Linked DNA regions of Daphnia pulex. Each later gene encodes a partner of the first gene's protein in a complex. Links are inferred from orthologs where the notes say so. Each region holds a gene or a part of one and is shown on either strand. Other genes may lie near its edges. The genes, in order: protein dispatched homolog 1-like and sonic hedgehog protein A-like.

Region 1 (14,689 bases):
CCCCGTTCGACCAGAGCCCTCCCCTCCTCCTGGTTTCACAGCGGGTGAGTGACCACCGGCGGGCGTTGGTTAGTGGTTAGTTAGGGAAACGGGGCCACAGAAAAGAAGGGAGCCCAAATATGCACTTGTAATTTTATCTACATCTACATAATTTCTTGACGAGTCTTGAATTTCAGCAACCTCAGTTCACCGATGGATCAAGTCTATGGAACGGAACGGCAGCAAACGATTGAACTGAAATGAGAAGGGATATTTTAACTAAAGGTCATACTAATTGAACGAGACTGTACATCAAGCATTACCTCAACGCCTGTAGCAAGGGTAGACGACATAACGACAAAACGCAGCCGATAAAATAAGCCCGACAGGACATTGACTATTTTACCCAACTGTTCAACACTGCATATACTGCATGGGCCAACAGAAGCAAATGACACATTGAAGTATGATGTTGAACGCTGCAAGTCTGCACAATTTCCATTTCAGCACATCTCTTAACTGGAAAATGACTGCAATTCCCCATGGACACCTACAAAGTAAAAGAACATTAATAAACCAAAAAACATTTTGGAATGTGAAAAATAAAGACGCCAATAATGATTTACTTTAAATATACACCCAACTAGAGAAAAAGAACTCAAGATGACCAAAGATCATCACATCACAAAGATTTCATTTCAGGTTTTTAAGAATTAAGGGAATTTATGTTCTGTTTGATCAAACAAAATTTCAACTCTTTACAAGAACTTTCAACAAAAGTTCTATTTAGAAGCACAAAATAAGATGTCACTTGTCTTCGACATCAAGAACAAAATGCTTGATTTATCATACAAGTACATTATTAGTTTATTACCATTTCAGATTTCCTGTTTTCATCACATAATTTCTGTCTTGCAATATAGTAGAGACCCTCTCGAACAGGCATCTTCATGACACGGCAGCACCACCTGGAGAAAGGAAACTTCTTTGACACGCTTTTACAAAATGAATGAAAGTAGATTAGAAAATGGACTGTTTGAAAAGCCACAACTTTCACGATTCACTTACTTGCTTTAAAATTGTTTCTGTACGTGACAAAAGTTGCTGAAAAGTTCCAAAAGCATTCTAAAGCTGCTGCAATAAACCTGAAGATTGCCCATGGGCTAAAGGATGTTTTCCATAGTTTTCCCTATGACAGAAAATACAATCTATGACGCAAAATAAAAAATTTAAAACCAAAAGTAGAAGAATACTTGTCTGTCGATGTATTAGTTGTTGAAAAATATGTTGACAATACATGTTGACACTGGGGTTAGTGATCTACCAAGCTCAATAGAAACTGCCTATAATTGGATGAATATTAACTAAATATGTTAAGAAGTATTTACGAATTTATGACTAGGCTATTATTGTTTTTTACCTGTATCAACTGGATGATGCATTAAACAAACGACGACTTTGATGAGTGGAAAACAGGGCATAACAACTACACTAAGTATCCAATATCCATGGACATGTCGTGTTAAATGTGAAAGAATGGGCCTGTTCTCACTTCATCACTTGGCCGAAGGAAGTTTGGTAAAATGGCCAAATTTTGTGTTTAACTGGTTATGTCTAATTAGCAACAATAGTTTTGGCAGCAAAAGGATAAGACAAATTAAATAATAGTGGCTGAAAAGCTATCAGGAAAACGATTCCAGTATTTCACGTGGTCAGAAGCTCACAACTCAAAACTCAAAATAATTTGTCACCAAGTTCAGACGACATCAGACGACATTCAACATTGCCAAATGTACTTGTAGTATTTCTTGCCAATGCGCTCTACGCGGGAATTTGAAAAGTCTGCTCTAGAAAATACGTAAATCGGAATTTGAAAACGAATGCCTCTGATTTATTAGAAAGTAGGAAATATAATTTTGACATAGGAATCACCGAATTTTTGTTTTCTTCCGCTAGGGAGTGAGCACTGTCTTCCGTTTATTCGGCACTGTCTCATGGATTTTATCGCAATAATTTCCTTAAAATAGGCGCAAATGGTTTTGTATTGACATCTGATATTTTATTAATTGGCAGACACCTTCAGCGCTATCAGCGCGTTCCCGGAATTCTTCCTGATAAGATACGGAAAAAATGGAAGAATGAAGTTTGAAGGACACATGTAACAAGTCAAAATCTCCGATTCATTTATTCAGTAATAAAAAACATTTTATTTGAAAAAAAAAACCTTACGATATAAGGACTGTCTGTCTTGAACGAATCCCGACCAGTGAATAAGGAATAAAATAAAAATTGGTGACCCAGTTATTACAAAATGAGAATCCATGGAAAAATGAAACACACGTAATATAGTAAAATACTTTGTCATCATAGAAAGTCCGGCGCTAAGGGGGGAAAGAAAAAACTAAAAAATCCATACATAGTCGCGATGAATCGGATGATGATGGTGATGATATTCTCTCTCACCTCAATTTGACTTTCAACTGGATGATTTTAATAGGGGGGAAAAAGAATCATTATAATTATACCAGCAACACTTGAGCGGGATTTCCATTGAATTTTCTCAGAGCTCGGAGTAATCGGTGGAAAACAGACCCGGAACAGAGCGTCGCATGAATCACAGAGATGCTAGAGAATCTTTTGACACACATTTAGAACACGGAATTATACGAGTAGACACGTTACAGATGATGGGGGGAGACTAATTAATTTGATTCTAGAAGAAAGACAAAAGTGGTGAAAACTATACGCGACGAAAGTCTCAATTTAGGGCCTTTTATAATCACTCCATTCCAGTTGGCAAACAAAAAGTGTTACTACAATGAGCATCCATCGGTGACGAATGCGGAGGACGATGAGACTTGATTCCGTCGAGGATTAAAAATTTAAAACTGCGCGCCGACTATCCATATTTATTCGCCTGTGAATAATAAAAGAGAAAAACAAGAAATCATAAAAAAGCTGAAAGATTATTGCTAAAGATAACACGTCAGTTGTCAAAGTTTACTCAAGTTCCTTTCATAAATTTTAATTCATAAAAGAAAAGATTAAAGCTGAGAAAGGAATTTAAAAAATTGGAACAAGAGGTATGCCTTTTGAATTTGGAGAACAAACAGATTTGTTCGCTGATAAACTAGACCCCCCCTCTCTCTTGGGTGCAGCAGGTCTTCTCTACCAGCAGCCCCCCTTTTCTTCGACTAGCTTAGTGATGTTATCAAAAGTCAACAGCATTTTCTGGGCAAAATGTGCGCGCTGAGAGTTATATTCAGAGTCGATTGCGAAATGTAATTGCCATTATCTTGTTGGTCGGGCGAAAAGAAATAAGTGGAAGATGATGACGTCGTCTCTATGTACTGAGAAACCCCGAAAAAAGATGCGACACGTGTCTGTTTGCAGTTGTCAAGACATTTGGCCGTCCATATTTCGCTGTGCTGCTGGGCCCATTATAGATTGAGCAAACAACAGCAGACACACAGACACATTTAGTGATGCGTATACCCAAAATTTTGGTCAGCAGAGAGCACATACAGTCGATGACCTTTCAACCGTTTTCCCAAGCCAATCGACAGACCATTCTCGAAATAGGCGAAGAGCGATAAGGTTTCCCCCCAACCAACATCCCGCCCTTGTTCGGCTATACTGCTGGGCAACCACCAGTAACTGTCCCAAAACTCTTGGTCGATTTCTGTTGAAAGGAGAAAGAATGATAAATATAGATATAGCCAGAGTCCCTAATCGACCTTGTCCTACGTAGCTACAGGCTCAAATAGTAATAACAGCTAATCGTTTTTCTCGAGAATATGGACACACAGAAAACGGGTGCCGGGCTGGATGGCTCGTGGGAGTCATTTCCCCAAGCCAAAGTTGTCATTAATGTCGTTTTTTTTCATTAATCTGAGAGAAAGAAAATGATGAGTCACCTGTGGTCACGTCACCGAGTCGGAGCCGAAAGCCTCTTGTGACGCATACGAGAGGTAGAGGAATCCATCGGGATCGTGATATTCGCGGTAGACTTCGTGCACAGTCTTGGAGAGCGACGCCATGCTCCGGTTGTTGACGATCAGGAAAATGGCCTGCGTCGAAGAGAGTCGCAGTCGGTTGCTAAGCGGATGACCAACAACAGGACAAAATAGGATAAAATCAGTTTTTTTGATTGAGTTGTTGCAAAAACAAATGGAATTACCGAACAACTGTGATGAGTTGCGACATGCTCAGCTCCTGCGGCACGAGGAATTTGCTCTTTTGCAGGTGAGGCAGCGACAGCTCCTGATCGAAACGCTCGACAATCACCTGTCGAAACAAATTAAAAGTTGTTAAGACATTTGGGTTGAACTGAGAGAATCAAAGATGAGACTTAGGTGGGCCAGCCAAACGGAAAATAGGAAAATAATCATCATCCCGAGATCAATAACACACGATGACTATGATGATCCATGTTGTTGAATGGATCGAATTTTCAAAGAAGAGACACCAAAATTTCCGTGGAAGAAATGAATAATAGAATAATAATCCCCCCTTTCAAAATATAACATCGCCCCTCTGATCACATAAAACAACAGTGTCAATCTCATGAATGAGGTCAGCCCCAACTCAGTCGGGAAACGGCCCAGACGTACAAGACAGAAGCGATCGTTGGATTTTCAACTAAATAATATTATCCATCATTTCCCGGAAGCTTTTTTCTTATTCTCTCATATCAATGTAAAAGCAAAATAAGAAATCAAAATTTTTATTATCACTTACTGGAATCTTTGATGGATATTTGGTCCGAATCGCTTGCACTTCTCCCTGTCGCGTTCCTGAATGAATTAAAAATAGAAAAATTATAAAATTTGGTTTTTTAAAAAAAGGAAAAGATTACGCCGATATGACATCACGGCAAGTTCAGGTAGAAATAAAAGGAAGCCCCCGGGAGAAAATAAATTCAAAGGGGAGGGTAAAGTAAAAGAAAAAAGACCAGACAGGTAGAGACAAAGAAATGAGACATTCGAAGGCCATGGCGTATTATATAATTTCGACATCAATTCTTATGTTATTAACATTTAAACAATAAAATAAAATACCCAAGGCTTTGCGACATTTAAAGTGAGTGCTGGTGGAATTGGAGCTGGAACTGGAACTGGAACTGCTGTTGCTGTGTCGTGCTGGGCTGTTTGAGACGAAATTGTCGTTGTCATCGCATTGCTGAAGCGATTCGAGACTCTGAACGGGTGAGGGGTTGGCGGTGGCAGCAGCCACACGACGACGATGGCCAGAGATGCTCTCCAACGAGTTCTTGCTGGACAATGAAATGTTATGGTCCAGTCCTCCTCCAATCGACTTGAGACTGTTGCTGGGCGACTTGACGGCCAACCCACTGCTGCCAATTGTCCTGGACTCTGTGGATGATGAGCTGCTGCTGCTGGTGGGGCTGGGACTGCGTCGGTTGAGGCGTCGGTTGGTGGTGGTGGGTGGTGGCGGGACGACGTCGGATGACGAACACATAATAATGGGACGACGGTAGTTGAACGAAAGGATGCACCAGTCCCTGGGTCCTGGCCCGGTCTGGTTGCTGATGCAGCCACCGGTGGCAGCCGACGCTGCGGCGGTGGCAATGGAGGCAGTCGACGACCGGCGCCGGTGGAGAGCAGCCCGGTAACACACGACAGAACTAGTGATCACGGAGGCCGCCAGATTTAAAACGGTTAAAGATCCTTTTTTTTTCTTTTTTCTTATTTAATTATTGTCTCGTCTTTTTTGGACAATGAAAAACAACTTTTTCTTCTTCTTCTTCCGTCAGAATATAATAAACGATCAAACCGTCTCGATTTCTATCTGTCAAAATTGAAATCAAGTCTTAAAAGGAACGAACGAGGTTGTCAAGAACTTTTTCTGAGGGGAGTTGCTGGACTGGGAGACGAGAGAGAAAGGGACTTGTTGGCACGTTGTCGTCGGCAGAGAGACTGGCCTGGCCTGACTTGGATACTCGTGCGCTGCTGCCAGCGCCAGTTTGTTCGACTTGTCAAATGCGAGCAGTTGTCACTCGAGGCGATGATCGTCATCACAGATGGGCAGAGATGGGGGGCTAGAACAGAGGCGTGGTGTCATTTCAATCGATCCCATTGGCTCCTAAAAATGTCACAAAGATATTCCCACTGTTGCCTCTCTTGTTTTGTATCTCTGGCGGCCGCGCACGCGCTCATCTATCCGCTTTTCCATTTTCTTCAATTCATTTATTTTTATCTTTTTCTCTCGTTTGTTTTTATTAAAATAATATTCAAAGGTTTTTCTCTCTCTTTGTCGTTTGAAATAAGGGGAAATGTAACTGTTGCATTGTGGACCACACGCGCCCATCACTTGGCCGGCTCATCAAAAAAGTCCGGGAGCGCGGACTTGTGGTCACGCCAACGATCACGCCGTTCACTCGTGAAAACTGCCCGTTTGTTCTCTCTCGTCTTTACCAACCGCAGCAGCGACAATAGCACATGATTGTGATTCACTTTACAACCGATTACACAACATGTGGGTGAGATGATTGCCCTTGATCCTTCACCACCCCCACAATACACAGAGCACCTTCCCCCCGGGAGCAATAAACATTAAAGATAAATATCAAAGGATATACACACACGTACGTATGTGTGGGGCTGTAATAAAAGGGGAGGGGGGACGAAGGTCTCTTTCAGCTGAAAAAATATGAAAGACAAAATAAAATTCCGGACGCCTTTTGGATGGGGGAAATGTGGTTTGGTTGTAGTACCAAAGTCTTTGCACGTGTCGACCTAAATTCCGGAATCAAATGACCATCATCCCCCCCCCCCCCCCCCCCGTTAATGGTCGGCTCCTAAAAATAGTGGAGGGGGGGGAAACATATTAAAAAAGCAGAGAGCCGACCCGACTGAATCACTGGGTAATAACAAGTCAAATGAGTTTGTGTGTATTTGAGATCAACACCACCAGCACGAGTGAATGCAGCAGCACTATTTATAACAGTGTCAGCCCTTCCATCGATTCTTTTTCAATTTCACACGTCAACAGTTTGGTACCATAACAAATAATATCAAAGCGCTGGATTGAAAAATACAAACAAAACAACACGGAGTTTCATTGAAATAAATATTGAAATTAAATATTCACGACGTTAGTTCACGCCGCCCACATGTCCGAGTTGAGAGTTTCTATGCAAACGACTTGGGGCTCGCGGTGGTGATCATGTGCTTCGGCCACCAGCAGGGCCGTCGTGCTGGGCAGGCTAATCTTCCTCATCTTCCGCCCGTTTTGAATCAACGTGACGGCGGCGGATGCCGGAGCAGCAGCAGCAGTGGTAGACCCGCTGGAGTGATGGTCGTTGGCGGCCACTAGGCTTCCGGATCGTGGTCGGTTGTTGCCAGCCGAGCGAACGGCTTTGACACGATGGCTGGACGTGAGAGGTTCCAGTTCGTGAGTCTCGCAATGGACAGTGGAAATGTTGGAATTGGGATTAGGACAGGAGGTGCTGGACGTGGACAGGGTCGACTCGGACAGTCCGTAACTGTAAACGGTTTTATCGACGTGCTGGGTCGGACCAGCTGGGCAACAACAGCAGCAGCAGCAGCCAGAGCCTAGACAGGAGGACGAGGGAATTTGGGAGCATCCGTTCTGCGGTCCACAGACTCTGAGGAGCGACGGGAGGAAGAGCGTCGAGTAGATCCACGACGTCACCATGACGACGACGACAAAAGTGCCAATCTGTTGGTAGGCGATGACGCTAGATGGCAGCACGGCCGCTCCGGCCGACAGCGTCGTGACGGCCGCCATGGCGATGGGACTGCTCATCCGCGTCAGTGAGAAAACGACGGCCGACTCCCTGTCCGTCTCATGGCCGCTGAGCCGATAGCCGACGGCGTAGTGGAGCGTGAAATCGACCGAGAGCCCGACGGCCAGGCTGACGGAAACCGATTCGAGAATGTTCAATTTCCAGCCGAGGAGGACGAGGACGGCGACTGAGACCAGGACGACGCTCGTCAAACAAACGACCGACAGGCAACTCAGCCACAGGTTGCCGGTGGCGCCAATCAAAACGACCAGGGCGATGGCCATGGCCAGCGCGATGGCGTGAACGGTGCCGGCCGATAAGCTGCGCTGGACGTCGTAAAAGGCCAAATCGCTGGTGAACCAGCCGCCCTTCATACCAGGCGGAGCCGAGGCCAGCTGGCCGTCCATCCAGTCGTCAACTTGGCGACGGAAAGCGTCCATTTCCGTGTAGGAGAGCGAGAAAGTGACGTTACTGTCGTATTCGACGACGACGGCGTCCAGTCGCTGCGTCGATTTGGAGAATCTCGGCCCGGCCACTCCGGGCAGGAAAAATTGGGCCGGCGTTTCGTAGAGATCCTTGACGGCCAGGAGGATGCACTGGTTGAAGACGTGCTCGCTGTAGGGGAATGTCGAGACTTCGCAGCACGGCGTCCTGTTCTTGCCATCCACCGAATCCTGACGGAAGAGAAAAGACAAAAGTTATAAGACGTGAGAATTAATCAGTTTGATTACAAGGAGACTAGCGGATAAAACTTGGGGGTGGCTATAGAGTTATCCTCTCTCCCTGGGCATGGTAGAAATGTTTCATTAACGGTTCGTTCGGGGGAACTTTTTCGGCCTTTTGCCCGATTGCCAGTGCGGATTTCCATGGCAACTTGTGAGAATAAAAGAGAAACCCCCTTGCCCACGAATTGAGGGTGTTGGAGGGGTTCATTCTTGTGGACTTTGCAACTCTCCCGGCCTACGTGGTTCAAAGTTGACGCGGGTCAAAAGTACACTGTACCCCCTCCTCTCCCTGTTCCCGGCAGCAGTAGCAGAGAGAGAGGAGATGATTATCGATTGGCCTCAAGTTTCCCGACGGACTTGTACGGGATTCTTTTGTTCAGGGGCTGGGCTGGGCCGAAATGAAAACGGGAAAAAACTTTTTTCCTTTTTTGACATTTTGGATTTCCCCCTTCCAATTGTTTTTATCTTGCTGTCAAGGGCCAAGGGGGGGGGGGGGGCGGGGCTTATCCCAGAGTCCCATTTTTTTGGTTTGTTATCAGCTAATGAAAGAGCAGCAGCAGAGCAGCAATCACCTCGCAACGCCTGTCCATCCAAGATTGGAAAGTTTCGATGAAGCAGTTGGGCAGGAGCGGGCCGAGCGTCGGCTGGAAAAAGGGCTGGTCGCGGATGTCCTTGCAAAAGTGCGAGAGCCACTCCTGCGACTCGGGAGCGGCCATGTTGAAGGAAGGATCGAGAACCAGCGAACCTTTGGACGACGGGTCCAGTGAGTTGCCATTGTCCTCGTCGACTACGCCCCACACGAAGCGCAGCGGCAGTTTGGCCAGCAATTCGGCCCGTTGCGAGCGCTCGAACCAAAATTCGTTTTTGAATTCCAAATCGTATCTGTTTAGAAATAGGATTAGGATAAATAATTAAATTGAATAAATTTGCCAACGGGTACAAAAGTTTTGTTTGGCTCTGCCTCACCGTTCAAACGGATGGTCGGATGAGAATAATTGAAATTCCTTCGTGTCTGGTAATTCCAATTTCGGGTAATGGAAGACGACGACACCAGCAGCGACGGCCAATCCGCCCAAAACGACAATCCAGAAATCTGCAAAATGAATAACTCAAAATGATCATGGATTGATTACAGTTGGAACAAATCAGTTCAATATAAATTACGCACATCGCAACTTGACGACGATGCAGGGCAGAATCTTGTCGAATGTGATGCGGCCCAGATCGCTAGTGGTGCGCCAGCAGCTGCGAAACGGATGGAGGACAAAAACGGGCACGCCCGGCCGTCTACTGGCGTCGGCAGTGGCGGTGGCGGCGTTGGCTGTGCCGGGGTGGCGACAAACGGGCCCGGAAAAGTATTTCTCGGCCAAGAGGACCGAGGCCGGCAGCCATGAGAGCATAAAGAGAAAATGGATCGTGACCGTCAGTCCGGCAAAAAGGCTGAAACACCGGATGGCCGTCACTGGGCAGATGAAAGAAGAGAAGAAAGCTGCCGCCGTCGTCAGTGACGTCACCAGCATCGACAGTCCGGCGTGACTTAGAGTGTCCATCACCAATTTGGCCAGGGTGGTTCCATCCTTGTCCAGCTTGACGCAGCGCCAGACCTTTAAATTTAAAACAAGACAATTTAATTGACTATTTCATTTTAAATCATAAAAATTAAAAATAAATAGACCTGGACGTAGACAAAGACGTCGTCTGCTCCTATGCCGACGACAATGACGGCGGCCAGGAGGTTCATAAAGGGGAAGAAATCCAATTCAAAGACGAACGTGTAGACGAAATAGGCGACGGCCAGCGAGAGGACGACCGAGACGATGGCCATCAAGGTGAGAAACAGCGAGGCCGTGTACCACCACATGCAGGTGCAGACCAGGACGGCGCCGACGCTGAGGTAGAGGACGTCGCGGATGACGTACTCGTTGAAAAGGGCCTCCTTCAAGCCAAAGTCCATGGCCACAACTTGCGTCCAGTTGTCGGCCAGCGGCCAGACTCCAACTCCGTCGCGGCCAGCAGCCGAGTTGCTGAGCCAATGGAAAAAGGGCAAAAGGGCCGTGCTGCGGGCCGTCGGTAGGAAAACGGCGGCGTAGCGCAAATGCGGCTGGCCGTCCACTAAAAATTCCGCGTCCGTTAAATAGTGGAATATATGAAAAATTGCATTGTGGCGAGTACACATTTCAGGCACGTCTCGGCCGCAATCCCCCGCCACCGCAGTGTCCGGCTGACTGGAATAACCTATCGCCACAAAGAAAATAAGAAGCCCAGCTTGGATCAACAACACACACAAACAATGGTGGGCCGTCGCCGGTGGCCACAATGTACATCTAATATAAACGACACGTGTACTACTACTGTATTTAATACCTTCCTGGACAATGGCGTCGCAGTTGGGCGAGAGCTGGAGCCCGTGGTAATGTCGGGAGCAAGCCTGGAGAATGTTGAAAGCCGCCGTGACGTCGTCGGCGTCGAGATCGGCACACGTGGAGCGATTCCTCATCAAGGCTACATAGTGGCCCAGCGTCCAGGAAGGGCAGCACTGCTGCTGCTGTGGCTGGCCGGTGGCTGGTTGGTGCTGATGAGCCGGTTGCTGGCAGATGGCCGGGAAGAGTGGACTAGATCTCATCAGCTCGTCCAGCCGGCACATGGATTGAATCGACTCGACATTCCACAGGGATCGATTAGCTGTTGCCTGGCCGGCCGCAGCGAAAATGACGTGAGCGTATTCACCGTGCGGTTGGTCGCAGAAATAGAACCGATTGTGAGACGGATGACCGACTTTCGTCATCTGCTGGTCCGTCTCCTTTTCGTTTTCTTCTTCGTCGTCGTCGTCGTCTCGATCGTCCTCGTCTGATCGCAACAGTCCGGCGGTGCCCAGCTGTTGCAACTGGCTCCACATGGGTCTACATAGAGAGGAAAAAGGAAATGTAGTGGTACACTTGACGTCCAGCAAACGTGATGGACTGTTGTTTTTACTTGTGTCGGATGGGATGAGCCGGTGAGCGAGTGACGGATTCGCCCCACTGGAAATGACTGTGATTGGCCGGCTGCCCGTCTTTAGAGCCGCCGCTGCTCTCCAGACCGCGCAGAACTTCAAATGGATGCTGCTGGACTTGTTGGCCACCAGCAGCACCACTTGCAGTAGCAGCTTTCGTCTGCCATTTATTCGTCTGCGGCGACGGCCAGACTTGATTGGCTTTGGCTTGGTTGCTGCTGCTCTCACGATGGCCGTCTTGGTCCAGGCTGTTGCTCCGCGTCCGCACCGATCCCCACGTCGACGACATTGCCGACGACACGGAACTTGTCGAGTCGCTGCCGTTGATCCGCTCAGACTGCTGCCATTTCGTTCTAATGTGAATCATTCAAAATGACAATCAAATGTCTTGTAGATGTGCACTATAGATGTTTACATGCAAATAAGGACTCACTTTTGCTTCTTCTTCTTCTTACGGGGCGTGTCGTTGCTCTTGAGCGACGACACGGCGGAAGTGCCGGCCGCCACAGTCGACTCGAGCGGATTGGTGCTGAGAGGTCCAGCTGGCTGGCTGGCCCGCAAAAGATTTTCCCAGGCGACGGCCCGACGTGATAACGTAGTTCCGCGGCACTCGAACCCCTTCGCGTTGCCCGTCACGTCAGCCGAAATTGAAAAAAGAGAAAAACACAAGTGCAGACAATTCAAATAAAATTCACGCCATTTGCATGTCGGAAAGTAAAAGGGGGGATGGAAAAGGAGAAACTGGCGAGTTGCGCATTTGACTTTTGTCGCCCGAAAGGATCCAGCTGACACACACAAGAAATTTTTCCAAAGCGGGCGGAGAGTGGAAATAAGCCGTACACGGTAAATTAGGCATTGAAGGCGATTGCGATGAAATGGACGAGAAATTTCAAATCTCGTCTGGCCTCGAGAGATGCCGGAATAATGCCATTGACGCAAGCAGGCCGAGTAAGAAGAATTGTAAGGAGTGTGTGTATCCGGAATTCTCGAAAGATAATTCCCATCTGCTTCATGGAGAGTAAAAAGGAAAAGAAAAAAAGGACCCGGGAGTCTTTAATCAGTCCGGGACTTTTTTTTCTTTTTTCCTCACACATCACGCGGGAAAAAGGAAAAGAAGCCGGTAATAAAAAAAGGGGAGGGGGAATATGGGAACGGACGGACACCCATATTGTTGGCATGGCAAGCGACGGAGGGAAAATGAAATGAGAAGAAACACTTGCAAGTTTTTAACTGCTGCCGGGTCGGAACGTAATAGCACGCGCACAGAAACGGGCCAGCCCAGCCCACCATCAGCCGGATTGAAATGCAGCCCCACACACCAGCACCAGCACTACCAACGCGACGACTAATGGCAATCGCCGTTGGGGTAACCCAAGGCCGTTTTGAGTCACTTGACAGAAATGAAACGCAATTTTGCTTGAAATGGACTCGAGCACAGCACAGCACAGCACAGCCGATCCCGAATTGGATTGCTGCGGATGCTACTGGCGGCTGCCTGGGCTGCTGGCAACGGTGGATGTGGGTAATTGGTTTTATTACTCGAGAAACTTATTTCGGCGTGCAAAAATAAATAACAAATAAAATAAAAACGGGAAATCCAATGGATCGATTCTACACGGAGAATTTCTTCCTAATAAATGGCCAGCGCAGAGAATAAAATGGGTCCCGACTACCTAATAATAATAACGAATGTTCACGCTTGAGCGCCATTGGCGTAGTCAAAAACTTAACGGCGGACGGGGTCGGCGAAAGACAAAGTCGTCGGGATTCCGACACTTTCGCTGGGAAAAGAAAAAGGCGGAAGGAGAACAAAAATTCCATAATAATAAAGGAATGGACGTGATTGTTGATCACGGCATCACTCACCAATTGCGGATCGGAGAAATCTGGAAGCGAGTGGAGAGTGAAGACGACGATGAGGCAGGAGACGGACAGGGTGGCGACGGCCGAGACCACGGCTGCTGGATAGGCCGACAGGATCCGTCCGTAACTGACAGCGCCAAAACATCAGGCGGGCGGACGGGCAAGAGGGGGAACAAGATAATTAGATTTTCGCCAACGTCGACCTTCCTCGGCTTGAGTGGGCACATGAACACACACAGAGACATGAGGCCAGCTCAGTAGGATCGACTGATTGCACGTTCTTCACTGACGTCTTCTCTCTCGTAAACTAATCACAGACGTGGCCCGTGACAAGCAAATCTCATTGACAATCTTTCACGTTTCCAGGAAAAAAGAAGAAAAAACTGTGCACAAGACATCAAACAAGGCGGATGCACGAGTTTCAGGAAGGGGTGTAACCTCCTCACGCTCCAATTCCTCGACAACTTTCGAGTCGACTGGGTACGGCCACGCACAATCACACGCAATAAATTGTCAAAGGAAAATGATTAATTTGTTTCTCCTTACCAGTTCATGATGGACATGGAGTCTGGCGGCTGATTTTCAGACTTGTAATGGTCCAAAGTCCATCGTCAACAAACTGCGGGATACACAAAAGAAAAAAAGAATCGAAGGTAATTACAAAATTCAAACGTCCGTCTTTTTCTCTCTCATCTCCAGTCGCATCGGCCAGCGCTTCAAATCCATCGGCAAGTTCAACCGAGCGAACTCTGCACTGCACACGACTCTTAACTGTCAGAATGTACAGTTCTGATTCCCCCCCACCCGCCAAATCCCTGACGACGGAACTGGGTTTACAGGGATCGCCGGGACCAGGTTTTATACGCCACACAGAGTGGAATAGTTAATGCAGCCACAGCCAGAGAGATAGAGCACTGGCAGACACGACAGATATCATATAAAGAGATGGATATAAATACCGAGATGCCGCATTGCTCGGTTGCCTTATCAAAAAAGAAACCAATTCCGTCGGAGGGTTTTTCTCTCCCCTTCCGCAACTTTGAGATCGGAGCGGATCGATGGATGAAAAGTTTGCCGTCGTGTCACAGCGGCGGGCAACTCCAGTCGTCAATTTCTTTTCATGGGCGGCCCGTGATGAAACGAGCCGAGCAACAGCCAAGCGAAAATCCGCGTTGATCGTCTAGAAAGAAAAATAAAATGGGAAAATGGCAGTTTCATATATAAAGTGGATCAGTCGACCTTTCCGACAGGACATGAAATCATCCAACCCTGAAAAGGAAATCACCGCCACTTTTTCCACCATTCGATACACTGTGTCTCTTTCTCCTTTTCTTTTTCTCAGGACTATCCAATTTTGAC
Region 2 (15,476 bases), on another chromosome or scaffold:
GCCGTGCGCAACTTCTTTCTGGTGATCGATGAACTCTTAAACTTAAAAAATTTTTTCGTTTTCCATTTGTGTCGAGTTTTATCTTGTTGCGCGATTGTGCGACCCTTTCCATCGGCCTAAATACCTTCACCTGTTTCGAAAGAAACTCTTTTTTAAAATAAAAGTTCTTTTGATTTTTTGTTTTTTTACAAAGAAGACAAGACACTCGGTTGATGGAGCGTCAGAGTTCCATCAAGCCCGAGAGGTCCGTCTGAATTCCATGTGAAGAAAAAAGGAAACAAACAACATAGTGTCGTCGCTCTTGTCTGTATAAAAGTTTGCGGTTTTTCCCGAGGTGGCGACTAGAGTTTGTTTCAAACGACAACACCGCAAACAGGAGAAATATTTCTGAACCAGACCATATAGAGATTATACTATAAGGATACTATTTCGCAATTGGCGTTCAACTAGGAAAGAGAAAGAAAAAATACCGGGAATTTTAAATGCAAATGAAACCAAAATGTCTAGTAGTCTGCTGTTTTTTCTTTCTTTTCTTCTGTTTAAACTATTCTAACGCGCACGACGGCATAAAAAGAACTGCTCTCTGCTGGAGGCTGGCCATTAAAAACTGAAAGAGAAACAACAACTCACCCCCGAAAGAAAAAAAACGTCTGAAAGAATTAAAAAGGAGGAGCTGCTGCCCTTTTTCGAAATGTTGCGCGCGCATCTTTTTCTTTTTCGTCTAGAGTTTCCATGCGAACTTTGGCCCGAGACAATAACAGTCGAGAGAGAGTGTAGATATATGTGCATCATACCGTGTACAATATCCCCCCCTCCAATGTATGTACACACAGAGACACATTCACTATAAGCTAAAACGTCCTGTCAAACTTTGGTTCCATCACCCTTAAGATTCTTCTTTCTCTCTCACCGTGACTGAATAACAACGGCCATAAACAAAAGTTGTCCCTGCGCCACTATATACATACATACAGCTACTACACCACTACCCCGAAAGGTTTTTTTTGAATGACCAGAAAATAAAAACAAAAAAATACCAGAAGGAGGTAGAAGAATTCTTATTCACCGGGGTTCACCGAGGAGAATTCTTGTATACCCTCTGATCGATATCCTACTGGATAGATATGGTATAGTCGATCTTGAACAACCGAATCAAAATGAATGTACACTAGAAGGAGTCACTATAAAGCTATTGCGCTATAGTGCCATAAGGACAGGAAGAAGTTACAGCTGGAAAAAAAGAAACGAGACTGTGTAATGGCGGTATATAGTAGTGGCACGTTTGGGTGGCGACTATCTATCTAATGGTATCTCTCTCAAAAAGTGTCTGTGAGAAAAAAAGGCGACTTCTTTTTGGCCTTCGAACCAAATTGAGCGCGCAAAAATTCAAAAATGTCAAGCCCCCCCAAAAAACACACGCACACACACACTCTAGAGGAATGCCGGATCCTATAGCGCCATATAAATGCCACCAGTTCGTCTAACTCTGAACCGTGTCATGACCGTGTCGTCGGTCTATGACAATATGTTTCTTTTCTTTTTCTTCTCACTCCTCTCTCCCCACTACCGTCGAAGAAAAAAGTTAACGAAAAAGCTACGGCAACACACGGCCGTGGGAATTTGTTGTGCACCCGCTTCTTCTTCTTCTTTCCCCTCAACGGACCTCGAAGTGATGAGGAATAATAAAATTTTAAAAAAAGAAAAAGAAAGAGAAAAAAAAACAGGGCGCAGAGGAGGCAGCGAAATTCTGCTGTGAAAGACAACGAGACGACAGGTAAAAATGGGCCAGCATCATCCACACACACACACACTACACACTTGTGTGTGTGTGTGTGTCCATCTCTGTCCCGCATCTTGTGGGAAGAAGAACAAGTCAGAAAAAAAAGAAGAACAAGTCCCAGGATATGGCATGGGAACGCCAAAAAGGAAGAGTATCTCTGTGTGTGTCTATAGGTATAACCCCACCCTGTAGGTATACAGCACATATCCCAGTCGTATATGTATGTACATTTAGTGGCTAGAGTAGTAGTAGAAGAAGAAACTACCTACCTTTTATTTTCCCCACATGACAGTTCTACCTAATTCTGCTCAAACAAGTTAACTCTTCTTTTTTTGGCCTCAATAAAATGTCCGAAATCAACTCTGAATTTCTGGCCCCCCCACCAATGATGAAAAAGTCGCCATTTTTGTCTTTCTTGTTTTTTATTGGTGGGTCTTGACACGGACTCACTAACTTCCTGAGCCGCCAATCTCATGTAGGTGATGCGTGTCCTACATATAAATCTCCGACCGAGTTTCGACCACGCCCACGCGGGATTCGGTTCCCATCCGACAAAAATCAAAAAAGGAGGAAATGAAATGAAAGCGGAAATTGTCGCCGACTTGCGGACCCAGCGCACGCCGGTAGTCCAAACGGGAGGGTTTCTCAGACGCCGTGGAAAAGACGACGACGACGACAAGAAACAACTTTCGGTGTAACGTTTCCTCGTGCCCGGCCAAAAGTTATACGAGGACACGTCACACGCCCAAGTCCATTTCTCCGGGCAAAGAATTCTTTGGTTTTTGAAATCAAAGTCAAAAATAATGTTTTCTTTTTTCTTCCCTCCCGTTAAGAAAATGGAGAGCTTCTCTTTCTTGTTGGTGCCGTAACATTTCCGACTTTGCGGTGAAACCGAATCTCTCGATCGGACCGGGCAGGAAAAAGGGCAACCCACCCGCGACTGCCCCAGCTCTCTCTCTCTCCGTTGCGCGGGGGGGTTCAAATAACAACAGAAGACATGGAGAACGACGCGATGAATACGTACATGTACACAACCCAAAAAAATGTCTTATAAAACATTTTTTTTTAAGTTGAAAAGAAATCGTGGCGCATTCTTCTCATAACTTAAATATCGAGAGAAAGTGATTGAATCATTTGATGCAACACTTTTGAGAATTGATCTGTTTTGAATTGGGCGCGCCAGGATTTAGAGAAAGAGAAAACAAAAGGGAAATTTTCGAATGTCTGTCAAAGATTTCTTGATTATTTCTTATTTGATTTGTTATTTAGGTGAATCCCCCCACCCCACCCTTCTTGCCCAAAAAGCTGAGAGGTCCATTTGACACTTGGGTGACAGTCACGCCGACGTGTTACTGTCAATAGCCAATAGCCCCCCAAGCAGCCAGCCGGGCAAAGAGAGCTAAAGAGAGAGAGAGAGAGTAGCCATCTAGCTTTTTGTTTTCCGTGTCTCACCATATCATTTTCGAATGGGGCGGAGAGCGGTTGGTGGTGGGGGGGAATTCCATCAGGGGCCTCTTAAGAAGACGACGACAATGACAGGAGAATCAAAAGCTTTTCAGCGAGGTATTTTCAAAAGTCACATCAAGTTCCCAAAAAGACAAGAATGAACACCGCGCCCTGGCACACACACACACACACAGCCCCAATAGCCTTTTCCCATCTCTATTATTTATTGGCTATGATTGTCGCCTATAGATATCATAAGACTATACATCTCTCGACTCTCATTTATCGCAATTAAACCTCTTTTTTATTTATTCGGGTGGGAAAAACTATCGGCGGTCGAATTGGGTGGCTTCTTCCTCAACTGTTTTCTTTTTCCTTATTCTTTTTTTGGGGGGGAATTTGGATTTTTATGTCTGGGGATCGTGAATGATCTTCTCGAGTCAGAAAACCAATTGTCACCTGTCTCTATTTTAAACCGTGGCCATGGGAAAAGGAGAAATCTCTGGGCCTCCCCTTCAAGAAGAAGAAGAAGTCGAGACCGGTGCTAAACTCTATGGGGGCAATCTGTCCTCTCAGGTAGTGCGTACACATCAATACAAGAGTAGTACATATTCATACCAATATAAAAATATGAGTATATATATGTATGTGTATAGAGAAAGGAGAAAGAAAGAAAAGGCTTTTAATTAGGACGGGCATATCTTTGGCGATGGTTAAAAAGGTATACACACACCTGATTTCTCTCTCTCTCTCTTTTCATCTCACATGTCACTCCTACATGGACGGGGTCTCCGCCAATGTTTGTGCCACTGTATAATTGGATTTCCAGCCGTGTGAAATGAAGAAATTTTCTCTTTTTTTATGAAGAAAATTCACGGATCTCCCTGACTGTTTGTGTGTGTGTGTGTGTGTGTGTGGGTTTTTTTTTTTTTTCGCACAGTGTCAAAATAACAAAAGACAAACTTTCAAAACAAAAAATATTTTGGGGGTAAAAATTATAACAAGTCAAAGGAGTAACGAAAAACCTTATTCCCCCCCACCCCCTCCTTTAGTTGGTTGGTTGCCGTGTAAAGTAAAACCCATAAGAGGCTTATTTGGAGCCATCGGATACCGCCATAACAGTTCCGGCCGCTGGTTCTTTTTTCTTTATTTTTTCGTCGTCGTCGTCTACAAAAGCCTATACATATAGCCTACAGTCATAAAAAACCGACGAGAGGAAGGGAAAAACTTATAACTATATAATCGCGTGTGTGTTTTCTTTTTTACTTGTGTTTCGGCCGTCTCGGTCTACCACCACCACCACAACGGCTCACGGTGTGGTTTCAGGTAGGCGACACCATTTAAATAAAACAACCGAAGGTTTTGAACCCGCAAAACGGATTAGGCCTATTGGCTTCCAATTCGATCGATATATGTAGCTAGAATAGAAGGGCGGGAATATTTGAATCACCCAAAATGCGACATTTACCTGGGTCATGAGTCGATCGGCTCCCGTTCCTTCCTCGTCTTTGAAGACAATGTCCGTGTTGTAGTTGGGCACGAGCTGCTGGAACCTGGGATCGTCGCGCGTGATTTTGCCCTCGGTGAGTCCGCTGGCGCCGAGCGTGTTCTCCGACACGTTGGGCACGTGCTGCTTGAAGACGAGCGGCGTCAACTTGCGCGGCGACCGGCGGCGGTTGGCACCCCGGCCGGGACCGCAGGCCGTGGCCGGTGACGGCAGCAACGCGCTCAACACCACCAGCAGGACCAGGAGCCAGTAACAGCAGCCGGCCGACGAAGATGACGAGCCGGGCGAGCGACGTCTGTTGCTGTGAGGGCGTCGTGATGAGGTGGTGGTGGCGGAGGTGGTGGTGGTGGAGGAGGAACAAGACGACGCGGATGATTGGGTTGGACGCTCGACTCCATCACCGCCACAGTCGCTGCAGACGCCGACGCTTATCCGCCGCCGCCGAGTCCGAACGTGACCGGCCTCCTCTGATGAGCACGTAGGCCTTCCAGCACTGGACCAACACTCGACGAACGACGCCATCATTTTTTCTAATTTTTACTTCGACTTTTTTCTCAATTCGCTTGTTTGAACACTGCGGAAAATATTTGGGAACCGAACGGAGTAGCACTTTTTTTGGTTGGGAATCCCGATGAACGAAATGAAACGACGACGGCACCGTCGATATGTAAATCACCAATGAGGATCGAGGTAAAAAGGGGAATTGGGGAAATCAATGGAGGCAACAGCGAGGAATAGACGCGGGCCGATAAATCTCTGATCGTGCGCTGGGTTGGTGTCTAGACGCGGACGTTTCGACACGATCGACAAACGGCATCGGCTCTTGGGAGAGTGTCATTCCATCTCTCGATGCCCAGCCGTCAGCAGAGGGCCAATTTAATTTGTAAAAAATTTTTGTGTTTTGACAAATACGGAAAAAAAAATAAGAAAAAAATTTTTCCAAAATTTCGACAGAAATAAAAATTCGGTTTTTCTAAAAATTTGTTGTTGGGGGAGTTAAAAAAACCAGAGTGGAGAGGAGGATAAAAAATGGTCAAAAGTAGTGGGTTATCCGACAGGAAGCGCGGAGAGACGATCTCTGGACACCGGCCGATGAGGTATCTGTGATGGAACTGGCAGCAAATCACCGAACCACCAGCACTCTGTGAGTCTGCAGAGCTGGAGGAGACGGCGGAGGCGGGGTAGTAGCAGTCGACCAAGAGGAGGAGGAGGAGGAGAAGGAGGAGGAGGAATAAGGTGACGCTGGAGGAGCAGAGGAGCGGATCGGATCGGAGAGGTGGGTCATTGAGAATCGGGGGGGTATGAAAGGTCTAGAGGTGAAAACATTCACTAAAAGGGAATACAACGAAAAATTGAGGAGGGTCTCCAGGTGCCTTCTTCTTCTTCTTCTTCTTCTTCTTTTAAATAATATTTTGAAAAGAACAAGAACTTTTTCTTCTTCTTTGGTCGAGCTGTTGGGATCTATGTTGTCACAACAATGTGTCTTGACGGACTGAGCTCCAAAGTCCCCACCGGTGAGTACAACTGGGCGTACAGACACACACAGCAGGGCGGAGGGAAAAGGAGCAGCACCCGACCTCCCAGTTAGAGACACACGGCCAAGAAGTAGAAGAAGACGAAGAAGGAGGTTATACATAAGAAAAGGAAGAAGAAGAAGAAGAAAAGAGATTTTTGGTTTTCGGTTTGTTTCACCTTGTTCGGTGTCTAAGGTAAAAAAAAAAAAAGAAGGGGGGTTCTGTGTGTGGGGTGCGCTCACGGGTGCGCAAGTCTCCCCTTCGGCTGAGCACCCAAGTTGGTACACGGGAGAGAGAAAGAGGCGGGACTTGAGGACACCTCCCACTCTGGAGCCAAGCTCCGCCCTCAGCGTCCATTTCAAAAGTCTCCTGCTTCTTTTGTGTGCGTGTATATAAAAGAGACTTGTGTGTGTGAGTATCATCGAGAGAGAGAGAGAGAAAAAAAGATTTTCTTATTCGGGTTGTGTATAGTCGAGAGATATGTAAGAATCCCTCCCACTTGACCACCACACTACTACACCTCCACCGACCGGTGCGCCCGTCTTTTTCTTTACCCGAGGCAGGGACACCTATAAAAGCCGATGCCACACACCGAAAAAGATAGTCGAGATAGGCAAACAAAAAGCTAAGGAAAAACACATGGAACAAGAAGAAGCGAAGCCAAAATAAAAATAAAAGGGGCAAGAAAAACCCCTGCAGAGGTGCCGAATGCGCCATCAAAAAGAAGAAGAAGAAGAATCTTTTATTTTTCTTCTTTTCCTTTTGTCTCTCTTCTATTTATATGCCCCCGACACACAGAGCGTCTAAAACCCATCAAAACACACACACACATACACAGGAGGGAAAGAAAAACCGACATCTTCCAAGTGCTAATGTTGCTTCTCTTCACGAAAGGGGCGGGGTCTAAAATTCCTTTCCCCCCGCGCTGCTGCTCCATTCAATTTCAAATGTTGTTATACATTTTTTCTCCTTCTTTTTTTATTTTGCCCTTTTGCTCTATAGTGTACTACCTTCAAAAAACTGTAATTAGATTTCATTATTTATGAATCGCTCTTCTTATCACCGCCCACCTCTCAGAGTTCCATCCCGTCAGAAACAAAAAAAATAAAAGGAAATCAATGACGAAGCTGAAAAATTAATTTTGCCTGGGCCTCTTTCTTTTTAAAATAAAATTCTTTTTGTTTTATTCCGTGGAAACCTCTCAACGTTAAAAGGGCAAAAAAAAAATTTAAGGAAAAATAAATGATCATTAAATAAAAAAGAAAAAAAAAAGGCGAAAGAATTCGGTGTGTGTGTGTGTGCGCGTTTAAATTATTTCTTTACGAGTGCGCGTAAATTGTTGCGTGCGTGTGCGCTCTCCTCTCCGGCCTTTTTCGATATTTTTGGTATTTTTTTTCCCCCCTTCTTGTAAAGCAAATCATTTCGGTTATTAGAAGAAACATCTCGTTGCGTCTGCCGCCCTGATTGCCCATTTAGGTATTAAAATACCACATGTGTGTATAAATAGGTGTACATAATAATAAGTGTCCCCCAATCATTTGCGTGAAAGACAAACCAGACGTGAAAAAAACAAAAAAACGCCAAAAACAGTTGCACGAACGAACGAACGAACGAGAATTTCGGTCGATGCTGCCATTTGTTTAATAGCTCTTTCGCGGCCTTTCGGCCTTTTTTCTTTTTTTTCTCTTTCCCGGAGAAATTCCTTTTTAAAAAAGTTAAACGATGGCAAACCGCCATCACCTGACCGCCCGCACCGACGTTTAAATGCCACCAGTCTCTTTCTCTCTTCTTCTTTTTCTCTTTTGGTTGGAGGGGAATTCAAATAGAGAGAGAAGCGGGAACAAAACAATCGACACAACTATTTGACATTGAAACTTTTTTTTTTTTTTTTTGGTTGTGTTGCTGGCGCAATAAAAATTGGCGAATCAATTCTCCCCTCTCCCTTTCGAGATGAAAGATTGTTACGCCATAATTGGATGCCAGTCTGTCTGGCGACGTCCTGGGCGGCAAATAATCATTCCGCACGATATCTTCTAGCCTACTACATGTACAGAATTTCTTTGAAGGCCTGTTGTTGTTGTTGTTACAGATCAATAGACTCGCAAGAAATCCAGCCCCCTCCCAACATCACCTGTACACAAAAGACACCTGGAAATATAAAGAGGGTCCGCGATAATCTCCCCTTATACTCTTTGAATGGCCGGAGCTTTTTCAATTAAACCTCTCGGCTTCTGCCGGAGGTCTCAAGCAGAAAAGCGAAAGAATGATAAGAACATGACTGGAATCTTGTTAGCTTTAACGTCCCGTAGGATATAAAGAAAAGAAAAATTAGAAAATTGAAAGAAGAAGTGAAATAGAAACCAGAGACAGACACACACAACGGAACACACGCGTTACACATATAGTGGCAGAGAAGAGAAATGTTTGATTATTCCAAACGTTTGGAATCTTCTACCAGGAAGTGCCGGTTGGGCGGCAAAACCCTCTTGGTGGAAAATATTGTTCAAATTTCATTTTGCTTCAAGTGTTTCAAGTTCAAATATCTCTGAATGTGATTGTTTATCCACAGACAAAGTTATTTGTGAGGTATAAAAAAACAGGCCCAATCTGCAGTGGTTCTACGCGTGAGCTATTTAATAGCCCCGACTGAGAAAAACCAAAACGACAAGAGAAAACAGTTTAAGTCAAAGGCCTGGCTCAGGAATAATCGTACTCCGCATCGATTTATGATAAACGCCACTCAATAGTCAGAGAGGAAAGAAGAAAATGAATTTGTCCTACCTTTAAGCCTGGGAAAATACAGCCAGGTCTCCACAAGTGCTCCATCCATCCACAGAGAAGTTGAAGTTGAAGCAAGAAGTTGAATCCACCAAAAGGGAGTCCTCGTGAATACACCCACATTCACATGGGCGTACACGAGGACCAAAAAAGAAAGGGGAATTGAAGAGATCCTTAACTCGGTCGATACTGGAAGTTTATCCAATTAAAGAGGATGCTGTTTATCTAAATGAAAAAATTCAACAATGAGTTACGAAAAAAAAACATTTACAGAAACAATAACAAGCAAGGAAAAGTTGAAACTGAGACAGTCGTAAACCAGAAGTATACCCTAATTGTGAATCAACAGGAGAATTAAAGGTATCCATGAAATGAAATGGAAACTGCATTTGTGCAAGTCATGCATCATTTAAAAGTCTGGCAGGTCACATGCAGGTTGATATAAGTAACGAAAATTATTACCTAAGCGATGATACTGTGATTGTTGCTGATGGCAGGAGGTCATAAGTCAAATCATATGACTGGTGGATGACTGGCTGTAGTCCACCACAAGCAAAACTTTGCTGTTACGATGGTTGGCTCAGGCCCCAAATCTGCACAGAGAAAAAGGTTACAATATATAGTGCAAACAATCTGCCATGCATCGACAAGGGGATAAATAATGCTAGCAGGAAGTAAGAATCCAAAAACTTGGAATAAGATTAACTCTTCAATTTAAGCTCCCATAGCCATCCCATTTTAATCTGCTGAGCATGGTATAAAGAGTCCATGCTGCTGAGTATATATTTACCCGCCAAACACCATGGAGTGGAGAATGGAAAGCTGCGAGCTGCGACACCAAAGTTGGCATGACGATGACAAGATTTTTGTAAATTTTTTTTGTGCATCCATGTACAAATCTCAAAAAGTGATCGTTCCATTTTTCTATGAAATCTTTTTATACTATATTAGTCTCCTTTTCAAACTTGTCTTGAATGCTTGAGCCCTTGAGTACTTGTGTTGTAAAGTAAAACGGTCGATAAGGAATAGCAGACGGCACTAATCGTCTAATAATTAAGATTCGGCAATACTTAAGATATCGATTAGAATTTATAAAATCGACACCTTAATTCCAAACCGCCAAAAAAGAAAAAAAGTGGTTTAAATAATCGCACAGTCAACATCCGCTGAACGGATCGGGATTATTTCCACATCCAAAGAGCGGTAATAAACAGGATTTGAAACATCCTTCATCCAGCGCGTCCGTCCATTCATTTATTTTCTCTGGCGGAAATTAAAAACAAAACAAATAACAACAATCGCCGAGAAGAAGAAGAAGAAGACGAAGAAGAAGGAAGTTTTTGCAGCTTTTCGACCTCGGAGACTTGATATATTTCTCGGTATAGATTTCGACACAGTCTTTCTTTATATACCGGGAAGAACCGAAATGTGTTATTTCATCAGAGTGTTTGTATGTAGGCGAAATGAGAAACAATTGGAAGACCCTCCTATTTTCTCCTATCCCAGCCGACGACGACGAAGGTCCGGCGGTCTACACCCCACCCAACTCGCTGAGACTGGCCCACACACAAACACAGACGGGTGCCGCAAATAAATAGGGAAGTAAAAAAGGGAAAATAGAAAACGATTTTCCGAAACACTTACAGAAACACATACAAACACCCACAAACACGCGCCGCCATCACACACACACACACACACAGCGACCGCCGGTTGCGGTTCTTTCTTTCTTTCTTTTTTGTGTTGCTGTTGTTTTTCGGTCGCCTTTTTTTCTCTTCTTTTGGGTGGACGAAGTCTAAACAACACAAGAAGAAGAAGAAGAAGAAGAGGAACGATGATAAGAGCGCCATAACCCCTCGGCCTTATTCGTTCGTCACACACGACGGCAGCAGCGCGTTGAAAAGGATCGGGACCAGCTCTAGAAAAGCCCCAGAGCTCACGCCAAAGGCGCCGAGAGAGTTGTTATGCATACATCGCCGACGCCCCATGAAATTCTTGGCCGGACGACAGCAGCAGCAGCAGGTGACGGGGCGTTGAAACGTTTTTCCTGCCGTTTGAACTTGGCGCTTCTGCCGTTGGAATCTTTTGTATAAGACGCTCGCCGCAAAAAAGACGTTCAATGTAACACAGACACAGACTGTGGGGGCCGGGAAAAGTCTCAAAAGATATATATACAATTGAGCGGGCAGCGATGAGCAACACAATCTAGAAGTGGGGTTAAAATGGACGAGTCGAATTTTCTTTTTCTTTTTTTCCCGTCGACCACCCCGAGGTGAAATGTCTAGCGGCTTTTCTTTTTCTTGTGTGTGTTTAAAAGCGGAGCCTGTTTACACAGGAGAGACTGGCCACTATACTATCTACAACTTCTCCCTAAATATCCCGACAGGACCGTGGCAGATGCGGTCAAATAAAAACAGAACGGAACAGATTCCCCGTATTCTCTCTCCAGTTCTTTTTTCTTCTTCTTCTTCCTTTCTATATCCCAGTGTGTGTGACTGAATTGTTGGACATGTTGGGTGGCTCTTGGCCCTTTTCCCTTCACACTTTATGTACCACCGGAAGAAGAACCCCCCCATCTTTTATTTTATTTTTTTCCCGCGTATAGCTTGTCTATATGCCGACGACAGGATCGACTTGGATGGCCTATCTATCTATCCAGGAGGACCCAGTGTTGTTGGCGAGTTAACGCGCTTATCGATATCAATCTGGGCCACATAGTTGTTGGCCGCCTATGTCTATGTGTGTACACTCTATTATATTCTGGAGTTGAAAAGAAGAAGAGACTTTTTGACATGGAGAGGAGGCACACATACTACACACAGAGAGCAGAGTATAGTCAGAGGAAATGACTATAGGCGCGCTGGCCGTTTTTTTATTTTTTTCGAGCTGCTGGGCGACCCCCTGTCGTTCGGTCGCAGAAGGAGGCCGTCATGAGCTGGTTCTCCTTTTTTTCTATCGTGTCCGTGTGTGGGAAAACACCGAGACATTCCAACAGAGACAAACAGAGAGAGAAAAGAAGATAGTCCTCACCGCCCCGCTCCTGTCTCTCTCTCTCTCCTCCGCGGCTGCCTAAATAATCATAAAAATTTACACACGGTACATCGAAATGGACTTGTGGAAGAAGAAGCTAAGGGGAAAAGGTCGAAAACAAAAAAAAAACGGACCACATAAAGACTTTCAAACACCCAACAAAAAAGAAAAAAGCCAATAGCGAAAATGTGCGCACCCATCAGTGAAACTGGGAAAAAATGGGGAGATTTATGAGTCGTCCTTTTTATGTCTTGTGTGTGTGCGGACGACGCGGCCCGGCACACTGAATGATAATTTCCTCAATAGCCTCCACCCACCCATGTACACACACATTTACCACTGGGGTATACCGACGAATATGCACAACAAAGTGAAATAGATTATCGGTTGAATTTTTTTTATTTTTAAAAGGTTAACGGACTAAAAAAAATAAATAAAATGGACCTGGTAATTATTATCCGATTCCGGTATATTTATTAAGGTAAAAAAATTGTGGGGGGTTAAAAATTTTGATGTTTCTTTTTTTTTTCTTTGAATATAACAACAACAGCCAAGGGTGGGGGGGGGGATGACTCTTTGACACGGCCCGGTTTGAAAAGAAAACGTTTCCGACACATTCCACCGCCTTTTGATCCGGTCGCGGGTTATCTGCTGCGCTAGCTACAAGTCAAAACTTGCTTGTCAATGTGTGTGTGTGTGCACAATCCATCGAGACACACACAGGGAAAATGTCAAAGTATTGAGAGACCACAGCAGCGCCTATTAGAAGGAATATACATTATCAAAAAAAGGAAGGAAGGAAAAAGAAATATTTTCCTCTCAATCCTTTACCGTGTTGCAGGTATAATATCAGAGCCGTCGTCGATGATATAGCTCAAAAGGAATAGAGCGATGTGGGAATAGAAATATAGAAATGAAGAAAAGCGTTTTTCGGCTACTAATCTCCTTTTAAAGAGGACAACATTCTTGGGGCATGTATTTGATTCATGTCCGGTTGTATATACATACATACATGCAGTCGATATACATTTATGTACACGCTATATCATACAGCCCCCCTATGCCCCCCAAAAAAATCAAAGGACAATGTTTCGACTTTTTCCAGATAGATCCCACACATATCATCCAGGCCCATTTTTTCTTTATCCCTTTTTTTTTTCGGTTGAAAATATTTTGTGTGTCCTGTCGGATCTTGTCTTGAAATCTTCAAGCAATGAGGCCGATCAGGTGAATGATACCCAAGGGTCAATCCTTTCCGCATCTTTGACCGTCTTTCTCCTATTTTACTTTTTGTTTTGTTTCCCCTTTTCATTTTCTTTTATTGTTTCTTTTTATACCCTCCATTTAGCCTGGAAAACTATATTGGATGGAAACCGTACAGGGCTGTCTGGGCCCACAGGAGCTCGGCGTTGATCGACAGCGAAATCATCACAACTTTCTCATCCGGAGCAGAGCTAAATTCAGTTCGAGAGAAAATAAAAAAAGGATCGCATTCACAGGATTTTCTCTTGTACATATCTTCAGATCATTTTCCAAGATTATAAGGTACAGACCGCTCGACTTTTGAACATTTATATTGGCTGGACAAAAGTACACGTACACAAAGTCGTGTGAGATTCTTATCCCAAAACTGGATTGACCCCGAAAAATCATCCGAACTGCATAGAATGTATATTCACAGTCGTACACAATTATACGCAGTTAAAACAGTGTGTCTATAAACATTGGATGAAATGTGTATAACGCGTTTATTTATATATACACATATCAAAGGGGGGTGTGATGGAGAAACCCATTCACCGACATTCTCTTAATACTGCCAGACTTCCCACAGGAACTTTTTAATCTCCTAATAATGCAGGATTCAGCCTGACTGGGCCAAGAGTCTCAACTGGGGTATATCTATATTTTTATGGTATGCCCAGCTCCTCAGCCGTAATGCGATGTAGCCTACTACTATACTAGACATCAAAAGCTGTAGACTGTATATATGTAGGCAATAAAAGAAAATGGTGAAGCGCTTTACAGCCAGTGAGAGAGGGACTATAAGACCCAATCAAGCGAATATGTATGAAGACAATTGGAGGTTGTCTCGTTTTTCCCTATTTATTGGTTTTAATTTTTTTATTATTTCCACCAGATTTTGATTCAATTCCTTTTCGTAGAGGGGGGGACATTTTTTTAAGGGACTCTCTTTTGTTTTAATGAAGTGTTTATGTACATACACACAAAGTGCACAGTACATATACATCTAAAAGTGGACGGACATCCTCGAAACACCTTCTCATATTCCATTCACCGGTATCAAAGAAAAAAACGGCTTAAAAGATGTGAGTACACACATATACAGACGACAGTGTGTGTAAGATATCGCCCAGCTTTTCTTGTTTTTTCTTATTCTTCTTTATAATTCTTCACAGATGAAAAGTGTATATGGCTAATCCCTTTAGACAGGATTACAAGGTCCGGCGAAAAAAAGAGAACGGCCCTGTTTCAAATTTGTGTATACAGACGGGCGATATCTTCGGGTGTACCCAGAAACCCTCGGCCCCTCTCCTCGACACTACATTGAATATAGTATATACATCCTCTATATGCCACATGTTATACTTTTTATAGCCCCACGCTGAGTATTTATAGATTGGCTGACCAGTGCGCCCCATAAGCATCCAATCAGCTTCCTTGCGTGTGTGTAGTGTTAAACCCTAGATTCTCAATGTATAGGGCATTCAGAGACATTATGATCGAATGGCAATGTGAATTTATTTATTGATTTTTAAAATTCGATTGGACGATGTATAAACTGAGATTTATCGATGAATTTCTACAAAGTGTTGATTACAGTATTGGAGAGATATAGGATTTCAAACCGAAATTGTTTTCTTGTATGAACTGTGTGGTAGTAAAATTCTATAGGGTATTCGGCATATCGGATGCGGAAACATTTCACTCGGTTAATAGCACGGCAAAGCTTTTACCCACACACACACACACACAAGAGAATGTAGCGGACTGTTATTACAATAATAATAATGGACGACGAGAGGCGATCTTCGTTTTTCGCTGACCCATACGAGATTATCTTTTTACGAGCAGCCGGTGAGTGCTGCCAGCATTCCGGTTATTACTCATTGAAATGTGGCCAGACTTTATAGCCTGTGCTGCTGATGCTGCTGCGACCGCGCTATATCGACTTATAATCCTGATGGCTTTCAGCAGCTCTATTTCCCTCCAAACTATAGTTTCCACCCTTTCCATCATTTGATTCAATTGTCAACTACCTACGTATATAGTCCCATGCTCAATTGCTTTTCATCATCATCATGGATCGGCTGACCGGGGGACTCTCTATATAGACTAACTTTCGTTCTAAATTACTTTAACGACTGTAGCCCACACTTATAGTGCGCCACTACTGTAT

What was found.
Region 2: the proteins of protein dispatched homolog 1-like (region 1) and sonic hedgehog protein A-like are in contact, whole or in part, in a cryo-EM structure (PDB 6TD6), measured with the Drosophila melanogaster proteins. The link is inferred for Daphnia pulex from reciprocal best matches to the Drosophila melanogaster genes disp and hh. Residues at the interface, in NP_524734.2 of Drosophila melanogaster: His77, His78, Arg250, Tyr253, Glu296, Ala404, Gln405, Ser406, Asn407, Arg408, Gly434, Asn755; in NP_001034065.1 of Drosophila melanogaster: Tyr100, Pro101, Val103, Leu104, Lys105, Gln106, Thr107, Asn110, Leu111, Ser117, Glu164, Lys165, Val168, Ala228, Gly229.

The regions. Positions count from the first base shown.
Region 1 is NC_060022.1:92,295-106,983, reverse strand, and holds the end of protein dispatched homolog 1-like, read right to left. Parts: intron 14,511-14,689; 5' UTR 14,290-14,510; intron 13,950-14,289; 5' UTR 13,894-13,949; coding exon 13,877-13,893; intron 13,458-13,876; coding exon 13,334-13,457; intron 12,086-13,333; coding exon 11,901-12,085; intron 11,821-11,900; coding exon 11,449-11,820; intron 11,376-11,448; coding exon 10,840-11,375; intron 10,711-10,839; coding exon 10,151-10,710; intron 10,080-10,150; coding exon 9,644-10,079; intron 9,569-9,643; coding exon 9,442-9,568; intron 9,358-9,441; coding exon 9,048-9,357; intron 8,425-9,047; coding exon 7,102-8,424; 3' UTR 6,877-7,101; downstream 1-6,876. Other genes in the region: putative protein TPRXL, read right to left, coding at 3,903-4,077, 4,160-4,266, 4,720-4,775, 5,040-5,460. UniProt on the Drosophila melanogaster protein: Segment polarity protein which functions in hedgehog (Hh) signaling.
Region 2 is NC_060017.1:3,421,681-3,437,156, forward strand, and holds the start of sonic hedgehog protein A-like, read right to left. Parts: upstream 7,465-15,476; 5' UTR 5,259-7,464; coding exon 4,695-5,258; intron 1-4,694.